Linked DNA regions of Oryzias latipes. Each later gene encodes a partner of the first gene's protein in a complex. Links are inferred from orthologs where the notes say so. Each region holds a gene or a part of one and is shown on either strand. Other genes may lie near its edges. The genes, in order: intu and wdpcp.

Evidence for each region.
Region 2: the proteins of intu (region 1) and wdpcp are in contact, whole or in part, in a cryo-EM structure (PDB 7Q3E), measured with the Mus musculus proteins. The link is inferred for Oryzias latipes from reciprocal best matches to the Homo sapiens genes INTU and WDPCP. Residues at the interface, in NP_780724.3 of Mus musculus: Val481, Gln484, Val488, Asp491, Ser495, Asp496, Glu498, Ala499, Ala500, Asp501, Ser506, Glu507, Asp508, Arg513, Arg514, Thr517, Ser532, His533, Leu534, Pro535, His574, Tyr593, Glu610, Gly613, Cys614, Ala615, Ser616, Lys617, Ser653, Pro654; in NP_663400.2 of Mus musculus: Phe3, Cys4, Leu5, Ile24, Leu51, Ser54, Arg55, Asp56, Lys93, Leu385, Ala386, Glu387, Asp388, Tyr389, Ile427, Lys446, Leu447, Gly448, Ile449, Leu450, Thr451, Arg452, Gly453, Leu455, Leu462, Gln463, Ile465, His466, Tyr467, Gln487.

What each region holds. Positions count from the first base shown.
Region 1 is NC_019876.2:18,867,023-18,870,839, reverse strand, and holds part of intu (protein inturned), read right to left. Parts: intron 2,910-3,817; coding exon 2,694-2,909; intron 1-2,693. UniProt on the Homo sapiens protein: Plays a key role in ciliogenesis and embryonic development.
Region 2 is NC_019873.2:11,912,284-11,916,744, forward strand, and holds the start of wdpcp (WD repeat-containing and planar cell polarity effector protein fritz homolog), read left to right. Parts: upstream 1-1,453; 5' UTR 1,454-1,899; intron 1,900-3,311; 5' UTR 3,312-3,362; intron 3,363-4,461. Other genes in the region: mdhb (cytosolic malate dehydrogenase B), read right to left, coding at 251-347, 738-836, 1,296-1,298. UniProt on the Homo sapiens protein: Probable effector of the planar cell polarity signaling pathway which regulates the septin cytoskeleton in both ciliogenesis and collective cell movements.

The DNA.
Region 1 (3,817 bases):
GACGACAAAAGCACGGTTGAAGCGCTGCTACGTTTTTGCGAAATCATAGCCCAGGTTTTCCATCGACACTTTTGGTCAACCTCACAACTGAAAAAGATGTGAAATAACTGAGTTTAGAGGCTGCAGGAGCCACAAGTTGATGTTAAAGACACACAAGAATAATGGATCCATGAGCCAGTGGATGTGTCATCCTAAAAATGTGGTTTGCTCTGACACTTCAGATGGACTGAACAAAAAGCTTTGCACTGCAAGAGATGGCAGAGTTTCAAGAAAGTGTCCTGAGACAAATGTGACATTTAAAGAAATGCACAAAAAAGTAACTGTTTTCTTTAAATGTATTTTACATGAGTGTTTTTAGTGAACTTCACACTAGTTTTATTGCATTTTTTAATTAAAAAAAAGCGGATTTTTTTTAACACTTTGGGCAAATGTAGCGCCTTTCTTATGAAGTTTGGCATTCTCCCTGCACTCTGAACTTTTCCAGAATGAGGGGGATGATGGAGTGCAGGGTGAAAGGATTTGGAAACCTTGAATGAACTGCTTCTAATAGCCTTGGCAACCAGACTAAAGGCCTAGACAACCCAGTCAGAGTGAGGGCGAGTGGCATTGGGAGTTGCTGAAGTGTGAGAAGAGCACTTCATCTGTCTTGATTATACAGACTGGCAAAGAAAAAAACTCAGAAAAAAAGGAAAGAAAGCTCACGTCAACAAATCCCTGCAACAGCAGAAGTCAGAAATACCACAGCCAGGCCTCTCCACTTTCTACAACCCTGCAATCAAAGGACTAAGAAGTCAAGAGTCCAGAGGATTCCTGCGTTTAGAAAATCAACCACTGGCTGATGTGGCTCCACACAAACCCTGCTCTCCATCTTCACTCCTATTTCATCCAAGAAGGAGTAAAAAAAAAAAAAACTGGCAGGCACAAACACAGTTAGGATCTGCAGAACAGTGAAGTACAACCCTCAACCTGAAATTAGCCGTCCACACAGACGCATGATTACAGTGTCGGGGGTGTCAGTCAGCAAACAACTGCAGCTTGCTTTCCTCTGCAACGCTCCGCTACAAGTGAGCTGCGTCCTCTTCCAGAGGATTTACAACACCGCCTCGCAAATGGCTCCCATTAAGAAAAGGAAATGTTTTATGTTTAAAGACTCCCTAACTGCTGCCGCACACAAAGAGATTATGTCGGGACAGAACCTGGTTCACACCATCGTGGTAACGGATCTTTTTTGACAGGTTTTAAGAGCTTTAGATGTGCTTCACCTGCTCCCCATGGGATTTGACTGCAGCCAACAGCAGTTTTCTGAAGATTTAGAAAACCTCTTGCTCCTGAAGTTTCCCGCAACTGTAGTTCTTCGCACTAAATCATCTGGATACACCGACAAAAATATTTGAAAGAGCTGGTCAAATAGGATTAAACAGTTTTTTAAACCAAATACCGGTACATTACAATCACAAACAGAAGACTTTTGTGTGTTGGATGGGATTTTTTAATTAAGTGAAACTCACCAGGATGCCTGTAAAAACACCAGATCATTCATACATGAGTTCAGCTGAAAGGTCTTTAGCCTGAACCACTCTGAAAACGGTCACTTTGGACTTACCATGTGATTTAATGGAGCAATGGATGAGACAGCTTTATTATTTCATGTACTTTGCTACTGCTGGCTTTTTCTGTTCAGCTCAGTCAGACCAGCTCAGGATGCTCAGAAAGTAGGGATGTAAAGATACAGATACGTAACAAACATCGGTCAAGCACTGGAAGTAATAACAGTTTCAGTTGGAAACCGCAGACACAAACAAGATTATGTGGGTAAAAAGGTATAAAATCGATTTTTTTTTCATAATGACAAAAAACAAGAGGCCAAAAATGCCAGGTTTTAATGTTTCAAGCTGATATGTAAAAGACATTTTGTTTTTGTTGCTTAAAATAAATTGTGCCAGTGAGAAAAAAAGAGTTTCTCAGCTAAAAGGGATGTTCCATTATAGCTTTAAGTCCAAAATGAATAATAAACATCTATTATATACAAAAGAATTGGACTGTATATGCGAACTGGACTGAGTGACCATGACATCATCCATAGAAAACAGTTTACTTCCAGCTCCCACCAAATGAAGTCAATTCAGTTGTCATTTTTTGGCGATATGGATGCCGCCATGTTGGAAACAGACGTCAATCAGTAGTGATTGGTCTGATCAACGTTTCTACGGCAACGCTCTCGCCAGTTAGGCGTGAGCTTGTTGGAAAGCCACACCCATTCCACTTGAAGGTGGGCTTGGGAGAATGTGTCAATCAAACATATTAAACATTCGATGTGGGGGCCAGCGGGCACCACCTACTTTTATTGAGGCATCACTTGATAACTTGAATACCTTACATTAGAGAAAAAAACATCATTTAAAACATTAGAATGAGCTAGAACATGTTAACAAAAAGGTCACAGATCAAGAATGATTATTCTAAGAAAAAGAATGACTGAGTAAAAGCTGTTTATTTCTCTATAGAAGTCCATGGTATTTTGGCTTCTTGGAGCCAGCGGGTACTTCCTGTATGGAACGTGAGGGGGAAGGAGTCACTCAGTCCAGATCTTTTACACACTCAATGGCCAAGCAGCTTCTTTTCCTGTTACCCCCCCCCCCTCCTCCCCAGGTGGATATCAGACCTTTTGACAGTTCCTTTAGCTGCTTACTGACCTCTTCCTGCAGCGACGATGAGTCCAGTTTAAGTGACAGGTACATGACAACGTGTGGGATGTGTCCCAGTGACATTTGCAGTTCAGCCGTGTCCTCCCCCCACAGCAGGCGCACCAGCTGGCTGACCGGTGGAGAAGCCTTTATCCTCTGAGTGGATGAAGTGCCCCTGGCCTCGTCCCTGTCCTTTAGAGCTACGGTTTCCAACGTCAGCCTCACCTGCAGGGGGGTGGGGAGAAAGACAAGAAAAAAAGAAGAAGAAAAGTGAAAGAATGAAGGATTACATGACCTACAATATTAAGAAGGTGTGGAAAAATTATTAAAAGAAACATTGATGAAGCTGCCTGTCTAAAGACCCACTACATTTGCATTCACACACCACTCGTCCTAAAGGGGGGAAAAGAGGGACAGAGAAAGTGATACAGTCATCTAGACCGAACCGCAGCATGACAAAGAGCTGGAATATGTGGCTGTGTGCTCGGCAAAATGAAAACCAGACCACTGCAAACCCACAAAAAAAAAACCACTCAGGACAGCAGATAGGGTCTGTCATTCATGCACAAGTTCTACTTTCCATTCTGTTCTATTTTCAAAAAATGTAACTGAGAAAATTAGGATTGGAGAGAACTCTGTCTCGAGTGAAATTATAACCGACACACATGGATGCACAGTGAAATAAAAGTAGACTGTCCTGTGAAAAAAATGGATGGTTTTCTATGTTCGATCTAAAATAAGAATACAGTTAAAAGCAGCTACAGAGACAAAGCGATAAAACAAAAATAATTCTCATTCTTTGCATACTTGGTGGAGAAAAACCCAAACGACGAGCACAAAAAACCTCATCACATTTAAAGAAAGCCACCTGTCAGAGTCAGCTATGGAGCTGTGCTGTTGTGGATGTAGGAGCATCAAACTCAAGAAGGAGCAGTATGTTAACACAGGGGTTTGAGACATCTGTTTGAAATCACCGGGAAAACGGGTTATGAGGCTTGAATGAAGGAAGCCCACAGAGCCCAGAGAATCTTGCCAAAAACCACCGTGGACTCCTGTCAAGCCCTTTCAAATCCAAGCTGTTTTTGGAGAACAACATTCAGCAAATGGTTTTACGGTTGTGGCTGATTGGTTTA
Region 2 (4,461 bases), on another chromosome or scaffold:
GTCTCAGAAATGTGTGTACCAAATGTGATACAAATGGTTTTATAGGGTTCATTTTTTTTAATAATAAATTGTGCTTTTGAGCAAGAACAGCTTTTAAAAATAATAAATGAAAGGCTGGAAAAAAATGCCCTGATGTGACCCGCTTACAGCAAAGATGGAGAGGCATTAAACTCCAGAAAACAAAATTTCTTTTATATCAAACAACATCTGCATCTTTATAGAATTAAATGTGTTTCGATGGAAGGTTTACCTCTCAGAAGTGGGAGGGCACAGTCCTGCAGCTCCATGACAACCCCTTCCAGGACAGGCAGCATGGGCGTAATGTCCAAAAGGAGCAGGATAATGGGCTGTCAGGAAAAGGGGGAAGTAAGATGCAGGGGAAAAAAATCCATAAGTTGGTGTCCATGCAGCAGGCTGGGTTGTGTTTCTGTCATGACACATCCACCTTTACTGACAGCAGCATGAGCCAAACGGATCAAGTGGTGTTTAAGATGGACTAAGACTCTTGGCAACAAGATCCACTTCGCAGACTTCAAGGACAATCATGGCTTCTCTAAGGCCAAACAGATGATCGGGTGCAATCTGATGGACTCCCACAGGGATGGCACCTGTTCAGACCCGCAATGGATACGATTGAAGACCCGCTGCATTCACAGCTGCTGGAGGCACATCCTTCACCTGCCTTACAGCTGACCATCACCAGATGAAGGAAGGGAATGAACAAATCATTTCATTACCTGATCTTTGCCAAAAACATCTCCTTTGGCGATGCTGAACAGAAGGGAGTAGGCAATCTGTCCGGCAGCACCAGTCACTAGAACACTGATTGGCTCAGCCTGCAGGATCCAAGACAACAGAGAGTCTTGTTACTCAATTAATTTATCAACCCAGATTTTACCAACAGGCCAAGAATGACAGTTTGGTAATATAAAGCACATGGGATCAGTGACTACCCCTGTCAACAGGATTTACTGCAGCATGGGGTCAGTTTATAAATAGACTCCCATGCCCTCCTTCACTCACTGTTACATAACAAATTATCCAGGGTTTATTAAGGTTATCTTCACCATTCATTCAACTGTAACAGAGGTTGGTTAAAAAGTCATGTAAACGATAGGAATATTTTTTAAATGCAGATAAATAAATAACGAACTCATCACTACTGTGCCACAAGCAGTCAAAAATACATTTAGCTGACTTTACTTAATTTCACAACTTTTTTTAGACAGTTCGGTCTCACATTGTCATATACAGAAACCACAATAAGAAATTATTATTAAACAGAATAACCTTACCATTATTTGTTCAGGAGTCGCACTGTTCTCCACTTCTGGATAAAGCCGCAGTTCACGCCTATTTAAACCCTCCGTTGATTACGACATATGCATCGCTCTCACGGTATTCAAGGAGGGGCATTGTGGGAATTGTAGTTTTGTATTGGTGTTTCCTGTAAGCGAAAAGAGCAAAAATGTCTGACTTTGTTTATTCCTGCAATTATTTTTTAAATTGATGAATATTTGATATGCCATAGAATATGCTTACGTGACTAACAATAAGAAAGGTGTTCAATGAGCTGTAAACGCGATAGCTGGTTAGCATCAGGTTAGCATTGGAGGCGTGTGAAGGTTGCCTAGCGACCAGCAGCGACATGTAAAAGCTAAACTGATCAGCTTCTCATCAAAAAATATACTCGAAAGTTTAGTTTGTGTTTAATTTAAGTAATTAAAACGGTGCCTTTTGAAGCAGCTGTCAACATGAGACTAGATTTATTAAAATCTTCGGCAAAAAGCAAGTTTAGTTTAGAAAATGCTAACTAGCTAGCTTAAGCCTTAAGCCCACAGTGACATCAACATTTGGAGGAAATAGAAGAACTTTATAAAACAAAATCCTGCATTTAAGGTAAGGGGATTATATGAATTTCTCTAGTTTTTGTTTGTGACTGCACCTGTGGCAATTTAATAAACTTTTATTATCAAATTTAAAGTTTAATGTTTTACTAGTTACGCATGAATGTATATATACTATATTCCCATTTTTCCCTATTTGGAACTCCCAGTTATGTGTTTCACCAGCCTTATTTTTTTACTTTACTTTATCTTCTGTCTACTGCATTTCTTTAAAAAAAAACATTCTGATTTAGAGTTTTGTTAGAAAAGCCTTTCATATTACTAACTTTAGGTTTTTACAAACCAAAAATGCCATTTCCTCAAATAAGTCACTGTATTCGAACATTTTTATTTAAAACTAAATGTTCAGTGCAGTTACACAGTTTGTGAGATTAGTACCAATGTGTCTGATTTCCCCTTAACTTTACCCTCAAGTGATGACTTGAAACCACATCAGCTTTGTGCACGTCAGTGGTTAAAACAATGTCAGTTCATGGGACTAGGAAATGTAATTCAAATGCTTATGAAATTATTTTATTTACTTTAAGTCAAAATTATTAGTTTTTGTCTAACTTACATTTTTAAAAATGTGTTTTTATTTATCATATAAAATACTTATTGATTCATTTTTTTCATCAAGTGATGGATACATTTTCTTAAATATGTTTTGTTAGAGATAGAATGGAATAGAGATGGAATCAATATTTTATCATCTAGAAAAATACATGTGTGAGTAGGGGGATTGGTAAATCTGCATAGCGGAGGGTTGGGGTTAAATTAGGACTTGCTTGAGGTAATTTAGATTAAGAATAAATGTAAAAATGTACCTTTATGTTGGTTAACATTTGAAGGATGTGCATTGGTTTCTCTCAGTTGTATTATTAAGATCAGCGTAGTCATTTTTTAGAGTATTGTTGTTAACCTGTAGGTGCCCTTCTTTGGCATGCGGGCATGATGGAGCAGATCCTGCAGAATCGCCTAAAATCCCTTTGGTTTCACAATAATGGCTGGTGACCGGGAGCATTTGAAAGAGTCTGTTGTTTGACAGAGTCAGACAAGTCAGACTCCGGTGTTTATTGTTTTTATTTCTTTGGCACTCTCCACTGTGGGGCTGACATGAGGGGATTAGAGATGCTTTGTCTTTGTAGAAAAAAAAAAGAAAGAGAAAAAAAAAGAAGGGAATAAGAGTGCAAGCAGTGTTGGGGCAGGCGATAATATCTGGTGCCGTTTGCATGCTGGCCTGATCTCCTGTGTGTGCTGTGAAAACAATCAGAAAATGTGGGGTTTGAGGTGAAACCTGTGGGCCAGTGATCACAGAGGAGGAGCCCAAATTCCGTTGGGGCCTAATCCTCTGTTCATGACTAAGTTAGCATGGCTTCCACTCCTCTTGTCCACACCTGTGTTATTCCCTTCTTGCCCCTGTAGATTTCACCTGACCGACCCTGTTGCATGGACAGAGAGGAGCCAGATTATCAGGTAACTAACTGTTGTCCCCCACAGACCAAACAGCCCTCATTGAGTACCAGCACAAACAGTGAGATAAGCACTCATGGACACACAAACAGCAAATGAACACAAATAGATCAGAGCTCCTATCAGCTACACCTTTTTTTAGCATGCGGCACATCTGTCCGTTAGCAGGTTCATGTCCCTGATGCTTTAGATCAGCTGATAAAGACTTGGATCAGACTTTTCTTACCATGCACCTCCAAAAGCAGCCAGGAGAGTCACTTGTAGTGGCAGCATTCATCCAGCAGGTGCCAGTATAAGCTGCAGATTTCTGCTCGTGTTGACTCACCTGACCCTGGGCTCCAGGGGAAAAAAGTGTTGATGGATTTCAGCTGAAGATTCTCCCCAAACACTTTCTGCTTCTGCAGAAGTCTGGCCTTTGAGAATCGCAGGGGGGTGCTTTAAAGTTTCCCTCTGAAATTGGATGACTCCAGATTTTGACACCTTCTTGCTTTGTTTAACCTGAACACCCAAAACACTAGGAGCTTTTTGAACGGCTAACCTCTGCTCTTTAAAGCTCCTAGTGTATTCACGCATCTGCAAAGTCTGCAAACTATTGACTTTAGACATAAAACGCAAAATTTGGTTATTTCTCTAACCTAAGATGGGAAGAAATCCAAAGGAAAATGAAAAAAAAATTAGATTGCTTTTAAAATTCTTCACCTAAAGCACATGTGTCAAACCCATGGCCCGGGGGCAAAATGTGGCCCGCCATGTCATTTTGTGTGGCCCGCGAGAGCATAAAAGTTTTTAATTTAAAAAATAATAAAAAATAGAAATTGGTGTGTATTTATTCATATCTAGGGGGAATCAGACTTGAAATACCAGATTGGGCAACTATACATTAGGACTTAAACACTGTCAATATAACCTAACCTGACAGAATCAAATTTAAAAGGATTTATGCTAAAGTAACAAGCAAACATATGTTTTCTATGCAACTGGAATTGTCACTTTAAAAAGTCATAATACAAAATGAGTTATCTAACATTAAGGAGTAGTTACATTTATTTTTCATTACAGTTACATTTTGGATAGCCCTGCCCCAAAGGAACCAAAATACTAA